4 linked regions of the Saccharomyces cerevisiae S288C genome follow. Changing the gene in region 1 together with any one later gene gives a genetic interaction. Each region holds a gene or a part of one and is shown in the gene's direction. Other genes may lie near its edges.

The links.
Region 2: mutations in SST2 (region 1) and TEX1 together harm fitness more than expected from each alone (negative genetic interaction), as found in Saccharomyces cerevisiae (2 studies listed by BioGRID).
Region 3: mutations in SST2 (region 1) and BCK2 are lethal when combined (synthetic lethality), as found in Saccharomyces cerevisiae (2 studies listed by BioGRID, with this or other methods).
Region 4: of SST2 (region 1) and STE2, a mutation in one rescues a mutant of the other (synthetic rescue), as found in Saccharomyces cerevisiae (3 studies listed by BioGRID).

Annotation. Positions count from the first base shown.
Region 1 is NC_001144.5:1,036,406-1,043,082, reverse strand, and holds SST2 (GTPase-activating protein SST2), read left to right. Parts: upstream 1-1,716; coding exon 1,717-3,813; downstream 3,814-6,677. Other genes in the region: RIF2 (Rif2p), read left to right, coding at 97-1,284; leucine-responsive transcriptional regulator LEU3, read right to left, coding at 4,330-6,677. UniProt on the Saccharomyces cerevisiae protein: Desensitization to alpha-factor pheromone. Is involved in regulating the signaling pathway for responding to mating pheromone.
Region 2 is NC_001146.8:166,567-174,109, forward strand, and holds TEX1 (Tex1p), read left to right. Parts: upstream 1-3,451; coding exon 3,452-4,720; downstream 4,721-7,543. Other genes in the region: trifunctional dihydropteroate synthetase/dihydrohydroxymethylpterin pyrophosphokinase/dihydroneopterin aldolase FOL1, read left to right, coding at 1-531; mRNA-binding translational activator GIS2, read right to left, coding at 763-1,224; RTC4 (Rtc4p), read right to left, coding at 1,477-2,682; mitochondrial 54S ribosomal protein mL46 MRPL17, read right to left, coding at 4,875-5,720; Nrd1 complex RNA-binding subunit, read right to left, coding at 6,022-7,543. UniProt on the Saccharomyces cerevisiae protein: Component of the TREX complex, which operates in coupling transcription elongation to mRNA export.
Region 3 is NC_001137.3:512,281-521,291, forward strand, and holds BCK2 (Bck2p), read left to right. Parts: upstream 1-5,935; coding exon 5,936-8,491; downstream 8,492-9,011. Other genes in the region: aminophospholipid-translocating P4-type ATPase DNF1, read left to right, coding at 464-5,179; CCA1 (tRNA adenylyltransferase), read right to left, coding at 8,749-9,011. UniProt on the Saccharomyces cerevisiae protein: Dosage dependent suppressor of PKC1 deletion and MPK1 deletion. Involved in cell lysis.
Region 4 is NC_001138.5:78,671-86,244, forward strand, and holds STE2 (alpha-factor pheromone receptor STE2), read left to right. Parts: upstream 1-3,909; coding exon 3,910-5,205; downstream 5,206-7,574. Other genes in the region: cyclin-dependent protein kinase-activating kinase CAK1, read right to left, coding at 1-491; putative ATP-binding cassette family ATPase CAF16, read right to left, coding at 674-1,543; GTPase-activating protein GYP8, read right to left, coding at 1,749-3,242; BST1 (Bst1p), read right to left, coding at 5,475-7,574. UniProt on the Saccharomyces cerevisiae protein: Fungal class D1 G-protein-coupled receptor that acts as an alpha-factor pheromone receptor performing pheromone-dependent signal transduction involved in cellular conjugation, mating projection assembly, and in cell fusion.

The DNA of each region.
Region 1 (6,677 bases):
ACAGAAGGGATCTTCTTAACCATCAATTTCAATAAGTTAGAACAATATATGTACGAATATAGATATAAATACGAACGTGGTTAGTATATAGAGACAATGGAGCATGTAGATTCCGATTTTGCACCTATAAGGAGATCGAAAAAGGTTGTTGACAGTGACAAGATTGTGAAAGCAATAAGCGATGATTTGGAGCAAAAAAATTTTACTGTACTGAGAAAGTTGAACCTTGTTCCAATTAAAAAAAGTGTTAGCAGCCCAAAGGTGTGTAAGCCGAGTCCAGTTAAGGAGCGAGTGGACCATGTTTTCTACCAGAAGTTCAAATCAATGGCCTTGCAAGAGCTAGGCACCAATTATTTGTCAATAAGCTACGTTCCGAGCTTAAGTAAGTTTCTTTCAAAAAATCTTAGGAGTATGAAAAATTGTATCGTTTTCTTCGACAAAGTTGAACATATACACCAATATGCTGGTATCGACCGTGCAGTTTCAGAAACACTGTCTTTAGTCGATATAAATGTCGTAATTATAGAAATGAATGACTACTTAATGAAAGAGGGTATTCAATCAAGCAAATCAAAAGAATGTATCGAGTCAATGGGGCAGGCTTCATATAGCGGACAACTAGATTTCGAAGCTAGTGAAAAACCTTCAAATCACACGTCTGACCTAATGATGATGGTTATGAGGAAAATAAATAATGACGAAAGTATCGATCATATTGTCTACTTCAAATTCGAACAATTAGATAAATTATCTACTTCAACTATAATAGAACCTTCGAAGCTTACCGAATTTATCAATGTTTTATCGGTACTTGAAAAAAGTAATAACATTGCATTTAAGGTCCTCATTTATTCAAATAACGTTAGCATTTCGTCTCTCCTATCGACATCCCTCAAAAAGAAACTCAACACAAAATATACTGTGTTTGAGATGCCGATATTAACATGCGCTCAAGAACAAGAATATTTGAAAAAAATGATAAAGTTTACCTTTGATTCCGGAAGCAAGTTATTACAGTCTTACAACTCGCTTGTCACATGCCAGTTGAATAATAAAGAATCCAACTTAGCAATCTTTTTCGAATTTTTGAAGGTCTTTCCGCACCCTTTTACCTATTTGTTTAACGCTTACACTGAGATTATAGTCCAGAGTAGAACTTTTGATGAATTGTTGGATAAGATCAGAAACAGACTGACAATAAAAAATTACCCACATAGTGCTTATAACTTTAAGAAAAACCAGCGTCTTCCACTTAAGTTAACTCGAAAAGTACATGATAGATAAATTACCAAGGTCTTTTGAAAGAGTTCGAACAATACAAAGAGATGGCAACTCCTTTGGAAAAGTTCAAGTTGAACCACCTCCGTTGTCTCTATTAATGAAGAAGCCATGAAGTATGCGAAGTTTTAACTGAATCATCTTCAATAATTATGGGATGTCTGGGTTTTAAACGTTTCATAATATTCAATTTTGAAACAATGATCCCAATACTGCTTTTTTTTTGACTAGGACTTGGATTTGGTTGCTGGTGCGTTAGAATTGTTGTCTGTCCTGTTATATTTATACCGGTGAATGAAATCATAATCCCAGCTCTGTCTTTACTTCTCATCGTCCTTTAACTTTGGAGGTGTTACTGTCGTACGTTCCTTCTAGGTTTTGCACGCACTATCTGAGGCGTTATAGGTTCAATTTGGTAATTAAAGATAGAGTTGTAAGATGGTGGATAAAAATAGGACGTTGCATGAATTATCTTCCAAAAATTTCAGCAGAACGCCGAATGGACTGATCTTTACCAATGATTTAAAGACAGTATATTCCATTTTTCTAATTTGTTTGGATTTGAAAGAGAAAAAACATAGTAGTGACACTAAGTCTTTCTTATTAACTGCATTCACTAAACATTTCCACTTCACTTTTACATATCAGGAAGCTATTAAAGCAATGGGACAATTGGAACTAAAAGTGGATATGAACACAACTTGTATTAACGTTTCATATAATATTAAACCTAGTTTGGCGCGCCACCTTCTTACATTATTTATGTCTTCTAAGCTACTACATACACCGCAGGACAGAACTCGTGGCGAGCCAAAAGAGAAAGTTCTTTTCCAACCAACACCTAAGGGAGTTGCTGTTTTACAAAAGTATGTTAGAGATATTGGGTTGAAAACAATGCCTGATATTCTTTTGTCATCGTTTAACTCCATGAAACTTTTCACTTTTGAGAGAAGCTCTGTCACGGATTCAATCATCCATAGTGATTATTTGATCCATATTCTTTTCATTAAAATGATGGGCGCTAAGCCAAATGTTTGGTCTCCAACAAACGCAGATGACCCATTACCTTGCCTATCTTCGTTGTTGGAATACACTAATAATGATGATACATTTACTTTTGAGAAATCTAAGCCAGAACAAGGATGGCAAGCTCAGATTGGAAACATCGATATAAATGACTTAGAAAGGGTATCGCCATTAGCTCATCGATTCTTTACAAATCCAGATTCTGAGTCGCACACGCAATACTACGTTTCGAATGCAGGTATTAGGTTGTTTGAAAATAAGACGTTTGGCACTTCCAAAAAAATCGTGATTAAGTACACCTTTACAACAAAGGCTATATGGCAGTGGATAATGGACTGTACTGATATTATGCATGTTAAAGAAGCGGTCTCGTTGGCAGCGTTATTTTTAAAAACGGGGTTGATTGTACCAGTTCTTTTACAACCATCACGCACTGACAAGAAAAAGTTTCAAATTAGCAGGTCCTCTTTTTTTACCTTGTCCAAGCGTGGTTGGGATTTGGTTTCTTGGACAGGTTGTAAGAGCAATAATATTAGAGCACCAAATGGTAGCACCATAGACCTAGATTTCACATTAAGGGGTCATATGACTGTTCGTGATGAAAAAAAGACATTGGATGATAGTGAAGGTTTTTCTCAAGACATGCTTATCTCTTCGAGTAATTTAAATAAACTGGACTATGTGCTAACTGATCCAGGTATGAGATATTTATTCAGGCGCCATTTAGAAAAGGAACTTTGTGTAGAAAATTTGGATGTCTTCATTGAGATTAAGAGGTTTTTGAAGAAAATGACAATTCTGAAAAAATTGATAGATTCTAAGCATTGTGATAAAAAATCTAATACCAGTACTTCAAAAAACAATATCGTAAAAACGATTGATTCAGCTTTAATGAAACAGGCCAATGAGTGCCTTGAAATGGCATATCACATTTATTCGTCCTATATCATGATAGGATCACCATATCAATTAAATATCCATCATAACTTGCGTCAGAATATTTCTGACATCATGTTGCACCCTCATTCTCCATTATCGGAACACTTTCCTACTAATCTATACGATCCATCACCTGCATCCGCGGAATCAGCAGCTTCATCAATTAGCTCAACGGAGGCTGACACGTTAGGTGAACCACCTGAAGTGAGTCTAAAACCTTCAAAAAATCTTTCAAATGAAAACTGTTCATTTAAGAAGCAAGGATTCAAACATCAGTTAAAGGAATATAAACCTGCCCCGTTAACTCTGGCAGAAACGCATTCGCCTAATGCATCAGTAGAAAATTCACATACAATTGTTCGTTATGGCATGGACAACACCCAAAATGATACCAAATCGGTTGAATCATTTCCAGCAACTTTGAAGGTCCTCAGGAAATTATATCCCCTCTTCGAGATCGTTAGCAATGAAATGTATAGACTGATGAATAACGATTCCTTTCAAAAATTTACCCAGTCAGACGTATACAAAGATGCTAGCGCTTTAATAGAAATCCAAGAAAAGTGCTAATTTCATTGAGAGTCTTACTCATCTTCAGGTACAATTGCACAAACAGTCCTTTTTTTTTTCTTTAGTTCTCCTAACCTAATATGTCTTGATACCCATAAGGACTGTAAATACTATTACGTATAAATTAAGCGGAGGTGTGATTTGTTATATCAACTATAATATGATTAAATAAAGCCATTTATTATCTAGTATAATTTCCAATCCTGAGATGTGACTAACGTGAGCGCTTACGAATCTTCGCATCATACACCTGTGGCCAAGGCTGGTTGGCGGTTTAAGTCCGTCTGAAAACTTTTTTTTACGTCATTTGAAGATCAAAAGTATTGAACATATACCTAATGACACAGTTTTTTACACTTTTTTTGAGTTAAATTATTCAAGGACAAAAAATAGTGTGCGTAAATGGAAGAAATATAAACGTATATAGAAAATCATTTACCTCTCCTGTAGCACCGCAGTCATTACATAACATTTTTTCGAGGGTAAGTAAACATTACGCAAAAAAAGAAAAGGACTTTAAACCTTGGGATTGAACGCAAATTCATTCATTAAAATATCAACATCCCTCCAAACCATATCAGATTCCCAGTTATCCCAACCTGCCATGATGGAATTGGGTGATTCTTTGATTGTAGTTGTAACGGGGTTTGATTGAACAATGGGATACGTTTCTAATAGAGAAGAGTTGGCTTGTGTCGCAGGTAGTGTGTTTTCTTGCATTTGTGTTATTGAAAGAGGCGGTTGATTTGCCGGATGTTCAGCATTCCTCCCTATTGGCAGAGGTTCATTGACAGCTTCAGTGTCCTTGATGTCTGTAGAAACACTGGAATCTAAATTTGCATGATTCAGTTGTTCCCTAGGTGACATTTTATTGAGGATTCCTCTATATGATATAGTGTTCGCTACTTGACTATTTGGGGTCGTTAATGAGCTTCCACTGCTGGTAGAGCCTGCATTTATTGGATTTGGGTCTAGCGGAATTGTTTCAATTATTTTTCTTGCTTTCTTTTCTGGATGCCTTACATTGGTGAATTTCCTTGTCCTTAGTTGCTGGCTATCCATATTTTCTGGAACTTTACTACTTAGTTCTTCTTCTTCTTCTTCTTCTTCTCCCTCCTCATCTTCATCTTCCTCTTCCTCTTCATCAACATTGTAAGCTGTAGAAACCTTGGTCTCTCTCTCCAATTTGGCCATACCACATTTCTCTTTTAGAATATATAAGCAGTCAAAAAAAACGTTTACTGACATCCTAGATTTTATGGTGATGCCTAAATTGAAATCATTATTTAGTCTACCTCCACCTTCCTTTTGGTCGTTTTTCCAGGCATCATACATATTAGCAAATAAACTCCATATGCTTCGCATTATTCCGGATGATCTGTACGCCATATCATATTTTAAAACTGAGGCATTAAACGTCAATGAAATTGCGTTGTTATAAGCTTTTTTGCCTGAGTTAACATCTAGCATTGAATGAAGTGATGAATGTATGAGTTTACTAATAATACAGGCAGATTGCCATATATTCAAGACAAACAAACCAGGAAAGTACTTAATAATGGTAGGATCATGTTCCCACATACTATTGGCATGTATAAGAAAGTTTACGGCGGCATTATAAACTTTCACCAATCCACGTTTCGTTTCAAAACTTGTATCGAGTTCCATAATGGAATATGATCCCTCATAAATATTACCATTTGATTTTCCAGCACTTTGGGAGGTAACATCAGTGAAGTAATAGGTTAATAAGTGAACCTTGGCCACTAGTAATAAAAATTTTCGGATATCATCTAGGTTATTTTCTTCAAGACTAATCTCCAATTGACTTAGTTGTTGATTAAGAACGTGTAACAAGGGCTGCTTCTCTTCCTGACTTACCATCCCAGTAACACTCGCCGGGGTGGAGTTCATTGTGTTTACGATTTGGTTCTCAAATCTAGCAATTTGAGCCATTTGTCTTAGTTCATTGGGTATATCTACTTGGCTTTTTGAATTTGGTACTCTAATAGAGCTGATTACTAAATAATCAAATGAAACATAAGCTGGGAAACCAAATGATGATGCAACTGTTTGAGATACAACATTGCAGCAAATCCAAGTTCGTATTTGCTCGTTAACTAATTCTGAATTTGCCGAAGCATACTCTTTTGAAAAACCTGCACAATTTAGTCCTACCCGAAGCGCTTGGAACATCGCTGTTCCTATGGTATTCCACGAAGTGTCGGCGCTTAATGAAGAGGTTAAGGGAGGCCAGAACGTGTATAAAAGAAATGCTTGCACGGAATATACAGATGCTACATTTAGAACGGGTTCGTCCTTATCTGATGGAGTATATCGAATTATTGGAGATATTGTGATTTCTGATAAAACTGACTTTACTAGCACTGATAATCGAGTCATTAAGTCTGTAGCCCCAAATTTCCGCCTTAAACCAATGAGCAGGATGACCCAGAATAAGCAAGGAGATAAGTGATAAATTCGCTCTGCTCCTTTCGAAAGGTCAACGACGGGTAAAAATTGATGATATTTTGTCGCAAATTCTTGAAACAGCTCAGCAATATCGCTGCTTGACAAATATACGTCGCCCAGGCTTTTTGGCAAGCACTTAAGTTGATCATCTGTCATAACGTTTGTTGAGTGAACAGGGTCGAAGTTTGTCGACGAGCTTAAGAGCGTTAAAGGAGAAGAATCCGTATGTCTTCTGTTGGTACTGTAAGAAATAGGTTCTCCTCGAAGTGTTTTGTATGATCTCGGTTCTATTTCTGTCGTCTCAAAAGCACTCTTCCTGAGTTGTTTTACTTTTTCTTTTGTGAAATTACTGTTATCCAAAACAATTTCCTGTTCCTCTTCAATTTTCTTCA
Region 2 (7,543 bases), on another chromosome or scaffold:
ACGATGAATAGGCTGGCGCATTACGAAAATTTTGCATTGGGTGATTCTATTCAGCAAGAATTTGTTCATAATACCGACATTCAGCAGCTAGACGACTTGAAAGACAAAACAGTGTTAATCAGGAATGTTGGTCAAGAAATTGGCGAAAGGTATATCAAAGCGATTGATAATGGAGTAAAGCGCTGGCAAATTCTAATCGACCCTGGACTTGGTTTTGCTAAGACCTGGAAGCAAAACTTACAAATTATTAGACATATCCCCATTTTAAAGAACTACTCATTCACCATGAACTCAAACAATTCGCAAGTGTATGTTAACCTCAGAAATATGCCCGTTTTATTGGGTCCATCGCGCAAAAAATTCATTGGACATATCACAAAAGATGTGGATGCGAAGCAAAGAGACTTTGCTACTGGAGCGGTGGTAGCGTCGTGTATTGGTTTCGGCAGCGACATGGTTAGGGTCCATGACGTTAAAAATTGTTCGAAGAGCATTAAATTAGCAGATGCTATTTATAAAGGTTTGGAATAAAGGTTAGTTATATAGATTAAATATGTAATTCTGTTTTGTAATAATTTTTTTTCCTGTTTCATAATAAAGAATCGTTAAAAATAACCAAGGGAGGAAACAAGTGAAATGAAGTATAGAAAAGATATAGAAAATAAACTTAAATATTCAGTTTACTTGTGCTTCTTTTTTCCCCTCTATGAAATATAGCATGATAAGTGATTGTTCCTTTGTTTTTTTCAGTGGATGTTTCACCTAAGCCTTTGGACAATCCTTGGAAATATGGCCAGTTTCGTTACAGTTGTAACAAAGCCTGTCATTTTGACAGTCCCTGGACATGTGGCCAGCTTGACCACAAGTGTAACATTTCAATCCACTAATTCCGTCCTCTTTCATACAGTCCTTAGCCATATGGTTTGGACCACCACATTTATAACATGAAACTTTGGAGAATCTGCTGGTCTTCTTTGGTTCAGGGCATTCTCTGGAGATGTGGCCGGTTTGGTTACAGTTGAAACAACGTTGCACAGTACATTCACTTCTAACGTGACCGGTTTCACCACAATTGTAACATTGCTTGAATTCAACTGTTCTTGGCATGGTACAATCCGTTTGAACGTGACCGGGTTTGTTACAGTTGTAACATAGTCTTTCAGAATCACAGTCTTCTGCCAAATGGCCAATCTTACCGCAAACGTAACAAGCTTTTTGAGACATCTTTTTCGTATTCTTTTCTTTTTTCCTGATTTCTGAAGGGAAAGCCTTAAAATAATACAATCCTCAAGTGCCCCCAAAGCAGAAAGAGCATTTCTAATCCATCGATGACCTTATTACAACTCTTGCCAAAAGAGAAAAGGAACGAAAAGAAAATTTTTTCAGCATTTCGTCTATCATGACACCACAGCAGTTCTTACTATAAAGCTCAAATCCCTAAGCCATAAAGGCAACAAACGGCAATATACTACCTGTTTAATCGTGCGTATCCAGTCGCCATCTCCTGCTGGAATAGTTATGAACATCGAGTTTCAGTTCCCGCAGACGGTCTTCCTCTATGGCAGCTTCCCATTGCTCAATTGGATCAGAGTCGGCTACTATGATACCGTATTCAACTGTATCCTCGAGTAAGTCATAGGCTAGCATCCTTAATTCGGGATCGTAGTAATATTCCTTCTCGTTTAATTGTTGCTTTGGATGTTTATTCGGTGTCTTCGACGAGCAAGATTTATTCGAGAGATTTAATTGGTAAATACAAAAAGACGTAAGGGTTTCTGGAGCCAAAACGTAGTTACAGAAATCTGTTATCCCCCACCATTTTAAGGTTGCGGGCTGATTGTGCGTGAGTGCCCTTTTATATCTCTTAGCGATTTCTTCGCCAACCCTCAATTGCCTTTTCAGGCCGTAAAATCCAGCAGTAAATTTGTTTAAATTCAACTTTCTAAACTCATCTACGGACAAGTAAGCCTTTTGTGAGTTTTTGAATGCATTTTTTGCTTCAAAATAGTATACAGACGATATCTTTCCCTCCAATATGTCCATTACAATGGGCATGAAGGGTTCTACTTCAGTGAGTAGCTCATCCGAAAACAACATGGGTGGTAGTTTGAACTTGCTCATGTATTCTTCCCTTACTTGAAGTTTTTTGATTATCTGCTCTTTAGAACTCAAACAACTTTGTAACGATAGCTTTTTATCCTCGGGAAATGAAGAGGAGAAGATTTGGTTATCTTCAACTGCCGATAGTTCTGCCTCCAAGAGTAATTTTTTACCGTCTAAAAGATTATTGTTCCTGCATTTGATAGACTCGATATCTTCATTTTTCAAATTCTGTATTAGTGGGATAGAAACGACCTTCTCTTCTTCTTTTTCTTTTCCTCTGAGTGCTGCATTCTTTGCGGCTTGTACTTCTGAATTTGGAAATGACCTCGAAAGTTTATCAAATGTGGCCACAGTGGAAAGCTTTTTTACTTCAATCTCATCTTCTGTGATACTGTCTATTTTGCCGCGCTTTTTTGAGGGGGAAAAGGCATCATGGCCTGATAAGTCGTCACTTTCTCTATCATGTATGTCATGTTTTCCTTGTCTTTTCATTAACAGTAAGTTATCACCACTTCCCTTTTTTGTGGAATAAACACCTTTTCTCCTCACTCGATTAATTCCCAGACCAGGCCCAACCATCTCTGTCTACGCAGGTCAAAAATTTGTGCTAAGGTCTCGAGAGCACATACAGTACCCTTTTAATGTGATCTCATCGCTACATTTTTCAAAGCTTCCCATTTTAGCGACGCCATCTATATATAGGAAAAAAAAAAAGTTTAGGACGCTATTTACCACAACAATTGAGATGCAGCACAAATAGGAGTATCATTGCCTCCCAATTTTCAAGGGAGTTTTCAGAGAATTACTATTCCATACCTATTCAATTACTGGAGTTGTCTTCAGTATCATAAAGGGTTTTGGATTTTCAATCGAATTGCCATTTTTTTCCTGCTTACGTTCGATAGATAGCCAAATGCAGTTTATATATATGTATGTAGACTTGAAGGTATATTAACAGTGCCCATGTTTCTTTGGAAAGTGTCAAATATCGCAAAGCATAACCTTGAAGGTTAACATTATTTTCTAGAAATACACCTTTCCCACTGGATATGATGACGGAAGAAACAAAACGTTAAATTATTGTACCGTTGTATAAAACAGTAACCGAGCATGGACAATTCATTTTTACACCCCAACGACGCCACTAACCATGTATAGGTGTCTTGCCTAACTTATCATTATTCATAGTAGAATTAAGAAAATTAAAAGCCTTGCACCACAGGTTACGTACATAAGATATTATGTTAAATATATATCTCTTCAGTATTTCTACGTACAAAGCTTCACTCATTGAGGTTTGATTGGTGTACAGCTACATACATAAAAAGGATCAAGTGAACTATTCGGCATGTCGACAATTGGAGCTGTTGATATTCTTAATCAAAAGACCATAACTTCTGAAGTGGCTGCCTCAGTGACTTCAAAATATCTACAAAGTACGTTTTCTAAAGGTAATACAAGTCATATCGAAGATAAAAGGTTCATTCATGTCAGTTCGCGTTCTCATTCAAGATTCACCTCGACTCCCATAACTCCAAATGAAATTCTTTCCCTAAAATTTCACGTATCAGGTTCATCGATGGCGTATAGTAGAATGGATGGGTCATTGACCGTTTGGTTTATTAAAGATGCAAGTTTTGACAAATCTGTAGAAGTTTATATTCCAGACTGTTGTGGTTCCGATAAATTGGCTACTGATTTGTCCTGGAACCCTACTTCTTTAAATCAAATAGCTGTCGTGAGCAATTCATCAGAGATATCCTTACTCTTAATCAACGAAAAATCGCTAACGGCATCCAAATTAAGGACCTTGTCATTGGGAAGCAAGACTAAGGTCAACACATGTCTTTATGATCCATTAGGAAACTGGTTATTAGCTGCCACCAAATCTGAGAAAATCTACTTGTTTGATGTGAAAAAGGATCACAGCTCTGTCTGTTCTTTGAACATCAGCGATATAAGCCAAGAGGATAATGACGTTGTGTATTCCTTAGCATGGAGCAATGGTGGAAGTCATATATTTATTGGCTTTAAGAGTGGTTATTTGGCCATTTTAAAAGCAAAACATGGCATATTGGAGGTTTGTACCAAAATTAAAGCACATACTGGTCCTATAACCGAGATCAAAATGGACCCATGGGGAAGAAACTTCATTACTGGGAGTATCGATGGGAATTGCTACGTATGGAATATGAAGTCACTATGTTGTGAATTAATAATTAACGATTTGAACTCTGCGGTAACAACACTAGACGTCTGTCATTTGGGTAAAATACTAGGAATTTGTACAGAAGATGAAATGGTATATTTCTATGATCTTAATAGTGGTAATTTACTCCACTCTAAATCTTTAGCCAATTACAAAACCGATCCCGTTTTGAAGTTTTATCCTGATAAATCATGGTATATCATGTCAGGCAAGAATGACACACTATCAAATCATTTTGTTAAAAACGAAAAAAATCTAATAACTTATTGGAAAGACATGTTCGATAACACGATGATTGAAAAACGTAGGAAAAACAACGGTGGAGGCAACAACCACAATAAAAGGACGAGTAAGAATACTGATAGGATTGGCAAGGATAGGCCGAGTAGATTCAACTCAAAAAAATAAGTTACCTGATGGAAGGAATGCGGTAGAAAATGCACATTCTTTTTCTTTCATTTAATGATATTTACATGTGATTGACGACAACCTAATATATAAATATATATGCACGCATATATTTTGTATATGTAACGTTAAAAACGCATCTGTTTTTGTGATTTCAATTATCCGCTAAAAGAAATTCTGTTTTGTTAAAGTAATCTTTTGGTACATATTCACTGATCTCACCTTTTGTCAGCCAAGCAAAATCCTCGAATGCATCATTTTTCGACGCCACCAAATCAAATTTTCCAGCCAAAATGTGTGACTTCACAATAAACTCAGCAGTCCTATTTCTCTCGTCCTGCAAAACACCTATGGGCGTAGCAGAAACAGACCAAGTGTATATCTGATCACCGCTCAACAATTTCAATTCGTTCTCTGCGTGTACGTGTAACGGCTTAGATTCATCAGAAAGATCGAAGTTAGGGAATTTCCAAGTACCGCTTTTATCCTTAACCAAAAGATATAAGGTCCTGCTCAATTGTCTTTCAAGGCTCTTCATATCATTTGACCTATCTGCTTCCGTTATCCTGTCGTTGGGAATCACGGGCCTATTAACATCGTCTTTGCTTTGCTCTTTTTGATTGTTGCTAAATGCTACTGTACTGTCATCAGAAAGTTTAACTTCTTGCTTAGTACTTCTTTCTCTGCCATGTTTAATGTCCGGTATGCCTCTAGGAAACCAAATGCCATTTTTTTTGGAGATAGGTCCTTTCTGCAGGGATAGAAATTTGTGTTCTGCTACAGTACCCTTTTTGAAATAAAAATATGCCGGAAACGTCCACATTAGTCTCTTTTCTAGTTCTGATTGGTACTCATAGTATTTTTTCTCTAGTTCATTTAATTCTGATTTAATTATAGGGATTCTTGACAGTAGTACTCCGACTTTAATCTTGGGGGGAGCGGAACTGGCAGTTGCAGTTGCAGTAGCAAGCCCTCTTTTCAACATTAAATTTACCTTCATGGTACTGGATAAGCGCTTATGATTACGTAGAATATAAAGTTTATTGATTGTTTAACTGTTTTCTTTCCTTTTTTTTTTTTCATTTTCATTTTCATCTAAACCTTGAAAAAAAACCAGGAATACGGTAAAAAAAGAGAATAAAGAATAGGATAATGCTACATTTGAAACACAGTAGTTATGTGAATACATAAGGATGTCCATTTAACAAAAAAAAAAAAGGAACATAGGAAAAAACAGAAATTATATATAGAGGTAGATTAGTTTTATGTACTATGAGCAAATAAAGGGTGGAGTAAAGATCTTAGCTTTGTTGTTGTTGCTGCTGCTGTTGGTTAAGCATATTCATCAAAGAATTCAATTGAGCAGTGGGGTCAAATTGTTGCTGAGGTACAGGGGGAGCCGCTGCGGCAGGTCCCTGAGAAGGTAATGGTTGGTTGGGGGCATAACCATACGGTTGCTGCATCATAGGTTGCACATATTGCTGTGGTGGAGGAGATGCCAATGGTGCATTGCCGTAGGGTACTGGAGATATCGACGATATGCTACCAGATTTGTTAGGTTTACCAGAACGTGGCCCATTTCTGCCAGAATCAGTAGGCATCTTTTGAGATATTGCCTTGGAAGAAACACCTTCACCAACGATAATATCCGGTTCTTCGAAAACAATACCGGTAACGAGAGGTTGACCAGAAGTGCCACCCCATTGCGCACTTACTGACCATTTTTTATCAGCGTCCGTGAGCCTGTGCATAGGAATAATACTGTAACCGTGTTGATAGTCACAACAATCTCTTGGACCAAAACCAACTCCCCACCTAGTTCTCAATGGCAGGGCTCCATCTTTATTGAAGTTTTGCAAAACATTTTCGGCCTCATGTCTTGAATAAACTTTCACAAAAGCGTGTTTTCTGGAGTTATTCAGAATGACGCTTTGTACTTCAGCAAAAGGTTTTAAAACGTTAGCAAGGTCCCATTCCTTCATGTTTAGTGGTACCCCACCGATGAAAAGAGTACGGCTGTAGACTTTAATATGATCTGGTGGCAATGTAGAGTCGTAACTTACTGGTTTTGGTCTATAATGAGGATTATTGGAAACATTAAGCTCATCGGGGTATAAGTGGTGATTGTTTGTGCCAAATGTCGTATTGGGGGCGCCTATGCTGTATTGGTCCTGGGCCACAGATGGATAGCGGTCCTTCCTGCCTGTCGATGGCTGAGAAAATGGTGCCGGAGGAGATCTTGATCTATTCCTTCTTGAGTTATATCTTTCTCTTTCACGTTCACGTTCACGTCTGCTACCATATTCGGTAATTGTATGGGCTTGGGGAGGTGCGACTGTACCCACGGATGTATGTGAAGGCAAAGTTTTAAAATGTTTCTGCAGAGCCGCTATTACTTGGAAAAGAGCTGCTTGCTGTTTGGCTGGATCTGTGGAAGTCAAATCAGTTGGAAGACTTATGTTCAAGTTTAAAGGAGGACTTTTCTTTAGATTTGACAAGATTTGTTTCGACCTCTGCTTGGGATCCAGTGATAGTTGTTGTGAAGCGGTGTTCGCGGTGTTATTCGATATGTCCATAGCAAAGCATTTTGACCTGATGGCGTTCAAGTAACTCTTTTGAAACAAGCCGGACCTGTCCCAAATGTCTAAAAGCATACGAATTTTTTCCTTGTGGTCTTGATTACTTTTTGCAATAGCATCGGATAGCAGTTCTTGAATTACTTCGCCCAACGTGTTTATGGCATGGGCACAAGTACCGGGTTTGTTGCTGCTGCTGTTTGAATTTGATCTTGTTTCATCCAAGTAAGCTCTACCTATTGAATCG
Region 3 (9,011 bases), on another chromosome or scaffold:
ACTATTATTAGACTTCATTACTGAGTTTATTAGTTGCGTTTTTTTGAGGTCTCATTATTAACGGCAGAATGTTAGTTTTCGCGGAAAATAAACAAAATAGCACGGAAAAAAGACCAACAGGTTCCAGGAAAATACTAATTTACAAAAAATTGACAAATCAAGTGAGGGTACCTTGCTATTCATCACCGCATTCAACTAACTGGAGGTACAAAGCTGATAAAATTTCACAGAGCAAAGTCTCACTTAGCTTTTACTTTATGAAATTTGACCTTTAATAACCGAAGGTCATCGTAATACGCAACTCAGACAGTTTTAAGTGGATTTTTAGGGTCGCAATTAAAAACACTCAAAAATTAACCGGAGGTTGAGCAAGGGAAAGCAACCGTAACAGAAATCCTTTATTTCCTCCTGGAAGTGAAATAAAAACGCAGTTAACTTTAAAAAGGAAAGTTAGTTGATAATTATGTCTGGAACTTTTCATGGCGATGGGCATGCTCCCATGTCGCCCTTTGAAGATACATTTCAATTTGAAGATAATAGCAGTAATGAAGATACACATATTGCACCTACCCATTTTGATGATGGTGCAACAAGCAACAAATACAGCCGGCCACAGGTCAGCTTCAATGATGAAACACCCAAAAATAAACGTGAAGATGCAGAAGAATTCACATTTAACGATGACACAGAATATGACAATCATTCCTTTCAGCCAACACCGAAACTTAATAATGGATCTGGGACGTTTGATGATGTGGAATTAGACAATGATAGTGGTGAACCGCACACTAACTACGATGGTATGAAAAGATTCCGGATGGGTACAAAAAGGAATAAAAAAGGAAACCCAATAATGGGAAGATCTAAGACCTTGAAATGGGCTAGGAAGAACATTCCAAACCCATTTGAAGACTTTACGAAGGATGATATTGACCCTGGTGCCATAAATCGTGCGCAAGAACTAAGGACTGTGTATTACAATATGCCCTTACCAAAAGATATGATAGATGAAGAAGGCAACCCCATTATGCAGTATCCTCGTAATAAAATCAGAACTACCAAATATACCCCGTTAACATTCTTACCAAAAAACATTCTATTTCAGTTTCATAATTTCGCCAACGTTTATTTCTTAGTTTTAATAATTTTAGGTGCATTTCAAATTTTTGGTGTCACGAACCCTGGTTTAAGTGCGGTTCCGTTAGTTGTCATTGTTATAATCACTGCGATCAAGGATGCTATTGAAGACTCAAGAAGAACCGTCCTAGATTTAGAGGTGAATAATACCAAGACACATATTTTAGAAGGTGTTGAGAACGAAAATGTCTCAACCGATAATATTTCATTGTGGAGAAGGTTTAAGAAAGCAAACTCTAGACTCCTTTTCAAGTTTATACAATATTGTAAAGAACATTTAACTGAAGAGGGCAAAAAGAAGAGAATGCAGAGAAAGCGTCATGAACTAAGAGTACAAAAAACTGTTGGAACGAGTGGACCCAGATCCTCTCTAGACTCCATTGACAGTTACAGAGTATCTGCAGATTATGGCCGTCCTTCATTGGATTATGATAATTTGGAACAAGGGGCCGGTGAAGCCAATATAGTTGATAGATCCCTACCACCCAGAACTGATTGTAAATTTGCCAAGAATTATTGGAAAGGTGTCAAGGTTGGTGATATTGTTCGTATCCATAACAATGATGAAATCCCTGCTGACATTATCTTACTTTCAACGTCGGATACAGATGGTGCCTGCTACGTAGAAACTAAAAATTTGGATGGTGAAACAAACTTAAAGGTACGCCAATCCTTGAAGTGTACCAATACTATAAGAACGTCAAAAGATATTGCTAGAACAAAATTCTGGATCGAAAGTGAAGGGCCCCACTCAAATTTGTACACTTATCAAGGTAATATGAAATGGAGAAATCTTGCAGATGGCGAGATACGAAATGAGCCAATTACTATTAATAACGTTCTGCTTCGTGGTTGCACTCTTAGAAATACTAAGTGGGCAATGGGTGTTGTAATGTTTACCGGTGGTGACACAAAAATCATGTTAAACTCTGGCATTACACCCACCAAGAAGTCCAGGATTTCAAGAGAACTAAACTTCTCTGTGGTGATAAATTTCGTGCTACTTTTCATCTTATGTTTTGTTTCTGGTATTGCAAATGGTGTATATTACGACAAAAAAGGCAGATCACGGTTTTCCTATGAATTTGGAACAATTGCTGGGTCAGCGGCGACAAACGGTTTCGTCTCATTTTGGGTTGCTGTTATTCTTTACCAATCTTTAGTCCCAATCTCTTTGTACATTTCTGTGGAGATCATCAAAACTGCACAAGCGGCCTTCATTTACGGAGACGTTTTACTCTACAATGCCAAATTGGATTATCCTTGTACACCAAAATCCTGGAATATTTCTGACGATTTAGGTCAAGTGGAATATATATTTTCTGATAAAACAGGTACATTAACTCAAAATGTAATGGAGTTTAAAAAATGTACTATCAATGGTGTTTCATATGGAAGAGCTTACACCGAAGCGTTAGCGGGATTAAGAAAAAGACAAGGTATCGACGTCGAAACCGAAGGTAGGCGTGAGAAGGCCGAAATTGCCAAGGATAGGGATACAATGATCGATGAACTGAGAGCTTTATCAGGAAATTCACAATTTTATCCCGAAGAAGTTACCTTTGTATCAAAGGAGTTCGTTCGCGATTTGAAAGGGGCTAGTGGTGAAGTACAACAAAGATGCTGTGAGCACTTTATGTTAGCATTAGCTTTATGTCACTCCGTCCTTGTAGAAGCAAACCCGGACAATCCAAAAAAACTGGATTTAAAAGCTCAATCTCCAGACGAAGCAGCGTTAGTAGCCACAGCTAGAGATGTAGGATTCAGTTTTGTTGGAAAAACCAAAAAAGGGTTGATAATTGAAATGCAAGGTATTCAAAAAGAATTTGAGATTCTAAATATTTTGGAGTTTAATTCATCGAGAAAAAGAATGTCCTGTATTGTCAAAATTCCGGGTCTGAACCCAGGGGACGAGCCTAGAGCACTTTTAATTTGTAAAGGTGCAGATTCCATTATATACTCAAGATTAAGTCGCCAGAGTGGTAGCAATAGTGAAGCTATTTTGGAAAAAACTGCTTTGCATTTAGAGCAGTACGCTACTGAAGGTTTAAGAACGTTATGCATAGCTCAAAGGGAGTTAAGTTGGTCTGAATACGAAAAATGGAACGAAAAGTACGATATTGCTGCTGCATCATTAGCAAACAGAGAGGATGAATTAGAAGTTGTTGCAGATTCCATTGAACGCGAATTGATATTATTGGGCGGTACAGCTATCGAAGATCGTTTACAAGATGGTGTTCCGGATTGTATAGAGTTGCTTGCAGAGGCAGGAATTAAATTATGGGTTCTTACGGGTGATAAAGTTGAAACAGCTATAAACATTGGATTTTCTTGCAACCTTTTGAATAATGAAATGGAATTGTTAGTTATTAAAACAACTGGTGATGACGTGAAAGAATTCGGATCAGAACCAAGTGAAATTGTGGATGCTTTACTCTCCAAATACTTGAAGGAGTATTTCAACTTAACCGGTTCAGAAGAAGAGATTTTTGAAGCTAAAAAGGATCACGAATTTCCGAAGGGTAATTACGCCATCGTTATCGATGGTGATGCTTTGAAATTGGCGCTATATGGTGAAGATATAAGAAGAAAGTTTCTTTTACTCTGCAAGAATTGTAGAGCTGTCTTATGCTGTAGAGTATCTCCATCTCAAAAAGCAGCCGTTGTTAAGTTAGTCAAGGATTCTCTAGATGTCATGACACTAGCCATCGGCGATGGTTCCAACGACGTCGCCATGATTCAATCTGCGGATGTTGGTATTGGTATTGCCGGTGAAGAAGGTCGACAAGCTGTTATGTGCTCAGACTACGCCATTGGACAATTCAGATATTTGGCTAGATTGGTCCTCGTTCACGGTAGGTGGTCTTATAAGAGACTGGCAGAAATGATTCCTGAGTTTTTTTACAAAAACATGATTTTTGCTTTGGCATTGTTCTGGTATGGTATCTATAATGATTTTGATGGGTCTTACCTGTATGAATACACATACATGATGTTCTATAATTTGGCATTTACATCCCTACCAGTCATCTTCTTAGGTATTCTGGACCAGGACGTGAATGACACAATATCATTAGTGGTCCCTCAGTTATACCGTGTTGGAATTTTAAGGAAAGAATGGAACCAAAGAAAGTTCTTATGGTATATGTTGGACGGATTATATCAGTCTATTATCTGTTTTTTTTTCCCTTACTTGGTTTATCACAAAAATATGATAGTTACGAGCAATGGGTTAGGATTGGATCATCGTTATTTTGTCGGTGTTTATGTGACCACTATTGCTGTAATTTCGTGTAACACATATGTTTTATTACACCAATATAGATGGGATTGGTTTAGTGGATTATTCATTGCACTGTCTTGCCTCGTAGTTTTTGCATGGACGGGAATATGGTCTTCTGCGATAGCTAGTAGAGAATTTTTCAAAGCTGCAGCGCGTATCTATGGAGCACCTTCATTTTGGGCTGTTTTCTTTGTTGCCGTGCTGTTCTGCTTACTGCCCCGTTTCACATATGACAGTTTTCAAAAATTTTTCTACCCAACTGATGTGGAAATAGTAAGAGAGATGTGGCAACATGGCCATTTCGATCATTATCCTCCTGGTTACGATCCAACAGATCCCAACAGACCCAAGGTCACAAAAGCTGGGCAACACGGAGAGAAGATTATAGAAGGCATAGCACTTTCCGACAACTTAGGAGGATCGAACTATTCAAGGGATAGTGTTGTCACAGAGGAGATTCCAATGACTTTCATGCACGGTGAAGATGGAAGTCCTAGCGGATATCAGAAGCAAGAAACCTGGATGACTTCACCCAAGGAAACACAAGATCTTCTTCAATCGCCCCAATTTCAGCAGGCCCAAACGTTCGGAAGAGGCCCATCAACCAACGTCAGGTCATCCTTGGACCGCACAAGAGAACAGATGATCGCCACTAACCAACTAGATAACCGCTACTCTGTGGAAAGAGCGAGAACATCTCTAGATCTACCAGGCGTAACTAACGCAGCCTCCTTAATCGGAACACAACAGAACAATTAATAATGATATCCGAACCATAGCTGATGGAACTCCGCTTTTCACTGTATATATAATATTACATAATATTACTGGATAAGCCTTAGAAGCCTTAGAAGCCTTAGAAGCCTTGGAATTCATGCATACTACAGCGTTAACTCTTTCTTTTAGCAAGTTTTAGTAGCGGACGTGTGGGTTTCTTTGTTCTATAATTAACACTCCCGGTTAACCCGGATCGCTATTATTCAAGGACGCACAATGGTGGGCTAATTTTTTCTTCCGATGGAAAACTGACGCCAGCACTTTCCAGCGCTGGGAACTCTCCACTAACTGGCAAAAAAATTGATTAAGGTCATGATCAAAGGAATTTTTGAAATGTTGTAAAGTAGAGTTAAGAATTAATCAAGCCGTGATACGTATGTTTTTGACTAGGTGAGAGACTATATTTATCAAAAATAGTTTTTTATACTAACAGAAAGTTTATTATATCATAGAAATCCTAGGCCTATTGTTATTATTTGCGTGAAAAAAGGTTCATGCCTAGTTATTCAGGATATTAATCAGGCATAGTCATAGTTTTGTAATACACGTCTTTCACTCCTATTTCCGGTTAACATTCGCTAATATCCATCAAATTATTGACTTTTTTTTCAGTGGATTTGTTGTTAATAAAGGAAACAATCAGATCAGCCATTTAGGGAAGTCTTTTAAGAAAGCTCAGAAGGAGATCTAAGACAAGAAGCAAGGCAGTCTTGATTTATCGCTCAAAACCAATAGCACATGCCGAAGAATAGTCACCACCATCGTTCCAGTTCGGTTAATTCCACAAAGAGTCGTTCTACGGAATCTACGAATAAATGGAAAATTCCGCACTATTATCGCAGATCCGCTAGCGGCAGCACACAAGCTTCGCCGGACAGGAACTCCTCAACAGGCTCATGTAGCACTCCAGTATTACCTACTATGAATGTTATGTCTAGCCCGAAAAAAGTTTTGCTAGAGGATCCCAGAGACAACCATACTAAGGCGAAGAAGAGTAGTAGAAAGAAATCAGGTGAAATGGTCTTCGTCAATTATACTGTACAGGACACGGCTAACGAAAATGATACTGACTTGCAAACCCAGCCGGTTTCTGTGCCAGCACCAAAGGCGAAATTAAAGAAGAAATCCTCCAAAAGGAGAATGCTGAAGATATTTGGATCGTCAAAGAACGAACACATAGAGGACATCGTTGAAGAGCAACCAATGGTGCTTCAAATGGATTCAGAATCTAAACCCCTTTCGGGAACCCCTATCTCAGAAAGCGGAATCGACGCCTCGTCACTAACAACCAAAAGATCTTATAACTCGTTCTTAAAACACAATAGGCTAAACGGTAAAACTCCGTTCTCTGGAAACTTGTCCTTTCCATCATTAAACATGATGGGTAACACTACTGATCTGCCTATTGACAATAACGATTTTTGTTCCGAGAAAGAAGTCGTTCCGAAATCAACTCATGATCCTTCACTAGCAAAACCGCCATCAAGGTTCACTGAAAGCGAAACAAATTCTACTCCCAACTTATCAAGTATACCTCTCATGAACACAAAAAATACAAGATTGAAGTACAATAAAGTGGCGCCTCAGAGTTCAGACCGACAAAAGTCACAGGAAAGTGGGCTATATCATTCTACCGAATCATTCAACTTCAAAGATCAAAACTACAGTAACAATAAATCCTCTTTAAGTCTGAACTCCGATTTAAGTACACCCCACTTTGCAAAGCATTCACCTGATTCACCAAGAACTTCAAGATCTTTCAACTGCGGAGACTCACAAAGTAAAGTTAAATTACCGGAAGAAAATGACGCTTCTATTGCATTTAGTAAGATGTTTACTAGAAAACGAGCCAACACTGGCGGGTCCACGTGTTCGCTAGCCTCACCCACTATTGCACAAACTATTCAGCAATCAAATATAAAAGTTAATAAATTGCCAACTCAGCGAACCACTTCAGTTGGCTCATTATCATCCATGTCAAATCGTTATTCACCAATAAGAGTTGCATCGCCAGGAAGAGCAAGATCCGCAACTCGTGGGTCTTCCCTTTATAGATTATCCAGAGACCTTAATTCTTTACCAAGCGTCACTGATCTACCAGAAATGGATAGTACAACCCCAGTTAACGAAATATTCTTGGATGGCCAACCACAGCATAAAAGTGGCAGTGTCAAAGGAGGGCATAGGAAGAAACAAGAATCTATCTCTGATGCTCAAAGAATTCAACATTCTAATTCGTACATTACAACACCTTCATCTTCTCTGGTGACTCCTCCTTACTACATGACAGGTTACACATTACCAAGTTCTGCATCTGCTTCTTCAACTCCAAATGTGCTTGAAACACACAATATGAACTTTGTTCCAAGTACCAGTACTGTTACAAGTTATCGCCCATCTAGCAATTTTTCCTCATTTGACAAAGAATACAGTAACGAAAACGACGCTAGTGGGGAATTCTCTGCTTTCAATACTCCAATGGAGAATATACCGGCACTAAAAGGTATACCTAGATCCACGTTAGAAGAAAATGAAGAAGAGGATGTCCTAGTACAAGATATTCCGAATACGGCACACTTCCAAAGAAGGGATATTATGGGGATGGATACTCACAGAAAGGATGACAGTTTAGATTTTAACTCTTTGATGCCACACGGTAGTACAACTAGTAGCAGCATCGTAGATTCTGTTATGACGAACTCAATATCCACTACAACAAGCAACGCGACCGGAAACTACTTTCAAGATCAAGATAAGTATACATTGGTAAATACGGGATTGGGATTGAGTGATGCAAACCTCGATCATTTTATTAGATCTCAATGGAAACACGCTTCTCGATCAGAATCCAATAATAATACCGGAAATCGCGTTTCTTACAGTGGCTCAACACCAAACAATGTTGATACAACAAAGACTAATTTGCAAGTGTATACCGAGTTCGATTTTGAAAACCCAGAGTCGTTTTTCCATGAGCAATCGAAGCTACTAGGTGAGATGGGCCACAGCAATAACAACAGCAACAGCGCCATCAACATGAATGAACCCAAGTCTGCGGATACATACATTGGAAATATATCTCCGGATACTTCAGCAACTGTTTCATTAGGCGACCTGATGGGCTCAAACGTTTCAAACAACAGTGAAAGAAATTTTTACGATGGTCATACTTTCGTTCCACAGTATCAGGCGAACTCATCTGTGGAAAACTCAAATAATCAAAATGCAGCACCAATTGCAAATAACGACATTGATAATAATTTACAGTCTTTTTATTTTGATAATAGCAACTAAAAAAGGAATGAAAAAAAAAAAAAAAAGTTCAAAAATAGTAACAGATATCTTTCGAAAAAGTTAAAAACTGGTAAAAAATTTTGAATAGAGTATATAAAAACTAATAAATATGTTTAGTTATCATACACCATAGAATAACTACTAGAGATATTATTTCATTTTCGTTTTCATTTTTTTTATTTTTTTCTTTTCAATAAGGTAACAGAAAGTTATTTATGCATTCTTGTTCTACATGTCTTATGTATACTAATAAGCTACTACAGGTATTTTGGTAGTATGGCTTTTAAATGAGTTATTAATTCTTGATCAGTCCCTGTAGGATTATCAAACTGCCACCTAATCGCTTCGTTATTAATTTTACCCAGCCATGGACCTGGCTTCATTTGAAGTAGTTTTGCCATTTGTTTTCCGTCCACTATTGGTTTTAGTTCATGACAATTATTCAAATTATTGTCAAATATGTAAGAATAAAATTCATTGTAATTTTGGAAAAGTAATTCAATTTTTTTAGTTTCAAGCT
Region 4 (7,574 bases), on another chromosome or scaffold:
AGCATGATATTTTGCGGTTTGATGTCGCGGTGAATGATCTTGTTCTCATGTAAGAATGCAATCCCTTCAACCATTTGCCGGAAAAAGGACAAAGAATACCGATTGACGTCCAATTGATTAGTATATTTCTGAACGGGGGGGTCCGCAACAATTGGGATACTGGGATTTAGCAAATCGTAATAGGGATTTTTTTTTCTTCTATCTCTTTTATAGTGCATTTGCATGAACTCATAAAGGTTCATCTCTTCAAAGGGAAACAACAACAATAGGTCATTATTATCGGTAGCCTTAGACTCTAGAAGAGGTAAGATGTGCTTACATTTGTTGCCCAGTTTGTTTAATATCGATACTTCGAATTTGGCGTTATGTGGCGGGATATCGAAATCTAGTGCTAGACATTTAATGGCATATGTATCCGACCTATAAATCCTAGCAGTTCTAGTAGATTTGACCAACTGACAGTGTGTAATGTCTATACTATCCAGTTTCATTAAGATGGGCGTGAATTTTGTTGCCTCTCTTCTTCATCTGGCCTCTTTGCTTCTATGAGACTTCTGTCGTTTTCCTTTTTTTAGGATCACAAACTACTTCTATAACTTAAATAGTCAAATCACATTTTCCACTAAGATACATATTTTCTATACAGGGGGTCTTTGCAGTTATATATACTCAGTTATATACCAATCTCTTTGTCAGGAATTTGATTATCACGTTTCAACCATTCTAGTGCTAATGGATGCAAACTATTCACTTTACTAATAACAACCTTATTGTTGTCATTTTCAAAGGCCACTTGTCCATTAACTTTAGCATTGACCACTTCAGAGAACTCTACGTCTTTCTGATAATCTAAATTATCCACAATCTTACCTGATTTCATATGGTATACTTGGTTAGGCCATTTGGCCAAGCCGTCAAAAATATGTGTAGCGTAGACCACTGAGCATCTTCTGGTTTCGGTCTCCCACTTTAAAAACTCCAGAAGTCTTGCTCTGGCAATAACATCGAGATCCACAGTGACCTCATCAAGTAGTAAAACTCTCCAAGGTTTCAAGAGCCCCATGGCTAACTGAACTCTTCTCTTTTGTCCATCACTTAACCTGTGCATTCTCCAACGTACATCGATGTCCAGGATTCTAACCAATCTTTCACCTCTTTCCCTAAAATGATCGAATCCAATACTTTTTAATAGTTCCAAGACGCCGATATCCCTATTAATGATACTCATATGGCACCATTCCGTACCTAGATAAGTGGTCGTTTGGTAGTTCGTCGAATCTTCAACACTTTCATCATCGTCCACTTGATTCATAGATAATGGACTGAATGGATCAAGACCATTGACCAGGATTTTTCCATCAAGGCAAAGATGCTTACCGCTTAGTAATTTCAAAAGGGTGGATTTACCAGCACCATTGGCACCCACAACTAAAGATCTTGTATTCCATGGGATTTGAAGATTGATATCAACAACTGACGGATCGGAGCTTTCTTTGAATTTGTACGTTAGGTTACGCACCTCAATAGCAAATTGGGAAACCATCTTGAGAGTTATCTAATATCTTGATATCTTATGCAGGAGTACTGGTTTTCTCCATACTAAAAATCTCTCTTTCAGAATTTTCGTTTTTTCTTATTTGAGTCATCCTCGAAGAAATTTCCGCAGCGAATTTTAAAGAAGCACTTTATAATAATACCTTACATATGAGTTTGTTTCTATGTCATGGGTATATAAGGTATATTGTATGCTATCTAGTTGGATGCCCCAGTTTCAAAATGTCCCTAATCGGATCCACCCAGATGTGACTAACGTGGTGCAAATTTATATTTATATGTGATAAGTCTTTCAACTTTGTGGAGATCATGTAACGTAGATTGAGTACTAAACTCAACGACCTTGTAGTCCGTAATTGGTACAGGATAGCTACAATCCCGATAAGTAAAGAAATTTTGCTCCACCTGTTATATTTGGAGGGTAAAAAATGGCCAAGTCTTTGGACCAACGCCCTTGTCTTGGATCTGGCGGCGACACCATGATACTTTTCTTCCTTGTAATGCTCGTTCATCTTTGTTTGTTCGCTCAAATAGAAGATAATGGTGCTCATATCGAAGCATCCTGGCTTTCCACATGCTGTATTGAGTAATGCACTATATTTATTAAGACTCACCCGTTTCAAAGCCTTCTTGCTGGCAGTAGTCGCATCTTTTCTAGTTATTTGCAAGACTTCTTCCCAAAGCGCCTCATCATACAGTTTTTTCTGTAAAACTGTTTGTATAGCACCATGGCGCAGGTCAAAATCGTTCTCGAAGAAATCAGAATTAGCTTCTATTTGCTTCGAAATTTCAGACGCATTTTGCAATAGCAGGTTCTTGTATATGATCAAAGGTAAACGCATAGATTGCATCGATATTGTCATGTCAAATATCTGGAAAAGAATTTTATGAAGATTGTTGTCACCGCTATCTATAGGTTTCAAATTATGTGCAAAGATTGTCAATATTGACCCAATAGCGAAAAGGGGCTCATTTTCGTCAAATTTGAATAGATTATAGAATTTCATGTTTGATTCCTTTATCAATGAAGAGATTACTCTCAATTGCTCAAATGAAAAATCTAGTGAGTTCATCATGAAATCCCTCAGATATAATAGGGTAAATGCTTCGATGCAATAAAACAGCCTTTCCATATCAATTTCTTCTTGCAATGAGAGATTTTCTAGTTCCAGTCCGTTCTCTTTTGTGACATTCCAACTAAAACACATGATGAAAACAGACACAATATCATGATAACCTTGGTAATAGTTCAACGTTGGGTACTTTCTCAATACCCGAGTAATTAACTCCACCAGTAGTTTTCTCAATTGCAGTTTCAAGTTTTTGTCGACAATTCCACCAAAAGACCTTTCTGCATCCAATATCACCTGACCTTCATCTTTATGTTTTTCCACTGGTGTAATGTACTCTGTTGCATCATCAATAAGCAACTGGGACGCCAATAATTCATACCAACAATCTTTTCTTAATGAGTTGTTTACAAACCCCAGAGGCCCTAAACCTATGTACCTCAAAGCTCGGACATCTTTTTTCTCTAATAACTTTGATATAACTTTTCCTTTTTGTTCTTCTGCCTTTCCACTGTCACAACGAGAAAGTGATTCCAGATATGCGTTATAACCTCCCCTTGTCAACGCGTCTTTGTCGTGGCTACTCTGATTAGTATGAAATAATGACCTTAATGGCATCGTATTTTGTTAATTGGCTTGTTCTATGTCATTTGCTAAATTTTCTCTTTATTTCTTTACTTTGCCAATTCAAGATAATCTTCCCTTCCCAGAGAGAAAAAAGGAAAAATTTAGCTATGAAACCTCAATAAGCTTTTTAATACACCAAAGATTCAAGATAAGAGCATAGAACGAACTGTAGAATAGTCCGGATATGTTATCCAATGCCTGCCAAAATGCATTGTCACACGCTGTAGTGCTCGAATAGGTGTTGCAATCCGTCAATATACGTCTTGCTCTGTGGGTAAATGTCTCGTGCATTAAGACAGGCTAGTATAAACGAGAAGAAGTATCCTGCTTTGCAATGAAACAATAGTATCCGCTAAGAATTTAAGCAGGCCAACGTCCATACTGCTTAGGACCTGTGCCTGGCAAGTCGCAGATTGAAGTTTTTTCAACCATGTAAATTTCCTAATTGGGTAAGTACATGATGAAACACATATGAAGAAAAAAGCTTTCCTACATATTCAAGATTTTTTTCTGTGGGTGGAATACTATTTAAGGAGTGCTATTAGTATCTTATTTGACTTCAAAGCAATACGATACCTTTTCTTTTCACCTGCTCTGGCTATAATTATAATTGGTTACTTAAAAATGCACCGTTAAGAACCATATCCAAGAATCAAAAATGTCTGATGCGGCTCCTTCATTGAGCAATCTATTTTATGATCCAACGTATAATCCTGGTCAAAGCACCATTAACTACACTTCCATATATGGGAATGGATCTACCATCACTTTCGATGAGTTGCAAGGTTTAGTTAACAGTACTGTTACTCAGGCCATTATGTTTGGTGTCAGATGTGGTGCAGCTGCTTTGACTTTGATTGTCATGTGGATGACATCGAGAAGCAGAAAAACGCCGATTTTCATTATCAACCAAGTTTCATTGTTTTTAATCATTTTGCATTCTGCACTCTATTTTAAATATTTACTGTCTAATTACTCTTCAGTGACTTACGCTCTCACCGGATTTCCTCAGTTCATCAGTAGAGGTGACGTTCATGTTTATGGTGCTACAAATATAATTCAAGTCCTTCTTGTGGCTTCTATTGAGACTTCACTGGTGTTTCAGATAAAAGTTATTTTCACAGGCGACAACTTCAAAAGGATAGGTTTGATGCTGACGTCGATATCTTTCACTTTAGGGATTGCTACAGTTACCATGTATTTTGTAAGCGCTGTTAAAGGTATGATTGTGACTTATAATGATGTTAGTGCCACCCAAGATAAATACTTCAATGCATCCACAATTTTACTTGCATCCTCAATAAACTTTATGTCATTTGTCCTGGTAGTTAAATTGATTTTAGCTATTAGATCAAGAAGATTCCTTGGTCTCAAGCAGTTCGATAGTTTCCATATTTTACTCATAATGTCATGTCAATCTTTGTTGGTTCCATCGATAATATTCATCCTCGCATACAGTTTGAAACCAAACCAGGGAACAGATGTCTTGACTACTGTTGCAACATTACTTGCTGTATTGTCTTTACCATTATCATCAATGTGGGCCACGGCTGCTAATAATGCATCCAAAACAAACACAATTACTTCAGACTTTACAACATCCACAGATAGGTTTTATCCAGGCACGCTGTCTAGCTTTCAAACTGATAGTATCAACAACGATGCTAAAAGCAGTCTCAGAAGTAGATTATATGACCTATATCCTAGAAGGAAGGAAACAACATCGGATAAACATTCGGAAAGAACTTTTGTTTCTGAGACTGCAGATGATATAGAGAAAAATCAGTTTTATCAGTTGCCCACACCTACGAGTTCAAAAAATACTAGGATAGGACCGTTTGCTGATGCAAGTTACAAAGAGGGAGAAGTTGAACCCGTCGACATGTACACTCCCGATACGGCAGCTGATGAGGAAGCCAGAAAGTTCTGGACTGAAGATAATAATAATTTATGATCAAAATTTACGGCTTTGAAAAAGTAATTTCGTGACCTTCGGTATAAGGTTACTACTAGATTCAGGTGCTCATCAGATGCACCACATTCTCTATAAAAAAAAATGGTATCTTTCTTATTTGATAATATTTAAACTCCTTTACATAATAAACATCTCGTAAGTAGTGGTAGAAACCACCTTTGCTTTTACGAGTTCAAGCTTTTTTCTTGCCATGATCTAGAACTCTCAGGCAATATATACAGTTAATCTTTTTTTACTGGGTTGTAGTTCTAATGTATTGTTTCGAAAAATAGCAACCAGGCACATATTATGTTCACCAAGTGGTGTATCCAGTACAGATTTCTTATTCCATAAATGAAACTGAAAACGGTTAAGTACACAAATAAAATGATGGTAACTTTACCATCCCACGTGTCTAAAGGTACGCTGTTTGGCATTTTGAAAATAGAATTATTTCCAACCAAAAAAATAATTGGTGCCACTGCTAGTATATTGTGATGGGATCTAAATGAAGTTTCCCATTTGATGGCAACATTATGCAGGAAAACAATAATGATAGGGATGTTAATGGCACTAACAAATAATAAAAGCAGAAGCAACGTCATATTATAATTTAGTAAGTTCAATTTCTGCTCGTTGTTTGATAGTTTCAACAGCGCTACTCTAATGCAGGTAGCAATTTGGATTACTAATGAGATAACAAACGCCATCTGGTATGGTATGTGAAAAAATACCAACAGTAATAAAAGCACAGATGCCATTAATCTTCCCTTACCATACGCTTTATGTTCAATAGTATCAAAAGCCTCTTTATCTTCAGTGTTTTTCTTTGATAACTTCCGTTGAAGGAATATTACTAAAATTTCCAAGGATCCAAAAATCTTAGAAACTAGTGCTAGTAATCCAACTGTCATAACCCCAAAGAGAATTCCAATAGTTGACATAAACCAATCTCTGATCCCCAAATAATAAAAATTTGCATGCATGTTTCTCTCGGATAGCAGAAATGGATAATTTAAACCGACAGGATCCAATAAATAAAGTATTCGTTGTACCAACTTATTATTAACCACAGGCGAAGCTAAGAACAGCGTAAAAAACATTAATATTCCGTGCTTTCTTAAAATATATCCCAAAGTGCTATCAAAGGAAGGAAACTCAGATGTCTTGTTGTACCAGTAGAACTGGTATGACAGTACGAGTGCTATAAACGCGACTGGAAAAGATGCTAGTGCTAATCTGTACCTGATAAACAGCATTTTCAAAGTTAAAGACCAATTAATAGTCATTTTAGCTTCTAAGGACATTCCGGGTGGAATAAAAAAACTTAATTGTAGCGATCTCGGTTCGCTTTCATTTAATGGGATAAACGGTGCTACATTATGCATATTTATATCGAGACTTTTGTTTATAATATTTAGATGCCATTTAGACTCGAAAGGTTCGTAAACCCATTGCCTTATGAAAGGCTGAAACAATGTCTCTTCGGAAGCAATACCTTCGTTGCTTGCCTCAATCTTGGTTTCTAATTTGTACGATAATAAAGAATCCCACAAATTACTGAAACTTATAACCTGCTCGATGTCTTTGCCATCCAAGTGTAGTTGTTCTCCAAAGAGCAATATTTGAGAAGGTGTAGTATTGACTATTTGTACATTGGAGACGTTGCGCAGTAATGCCAAAAGAAACCCCTGATTGTCCTCCATGCCTTCTTGTTCTGAAAATTCACCGTAAGTGGGTTTGCTTATCATCAAGTAGTCGTACTTCTGTAGTATATTCTTGCCAACACTAACGGCTTTAAACGGATTTTTTGCTTCTCCAAAAGAAGAATCAGCTGCGAACTGAGTATCTTTTGAAGACCTGGGCACTGTTAGAATACTATCAACAGCTGTTATACAGCTTAGATTCACCCTGGACTCTGTACAGAAATAGATCATAGGCATATCGAGACTAGTTAATAATGTGAAATGCAGGTGTTCAGTGGAGGAGATGTTACTCGGAATATTTATTTTTGTATAATTGTTGTGCCACTTTTCCAGGTTAAACATTTCAAAATCTAGGACATCGTTCATTTCCAAAGTAGCGTAATCAGAAAAGAAGTTGTCACTAAATTCTTGTAAGTTTTCTTGAGGATAATTTAACTTACTATTCATCCATGAGTAGTCTTCAAACCCTGAAAGCAATAGTTTTCTAGCGATTTGCAATCTCTGATTCAATGGCTTAACTTTTTCAGGTTTGGAGGCATCTATACTTTCCAATAAAAGGCGCGCTAGTACCTCTCTTAATTGCTTGCACCAAACAATGGCTAAATGATCAATTGGAGTCCAAACATCTGGAATAGTAGTTGTGAAGCTGGTGAACCCATTTTC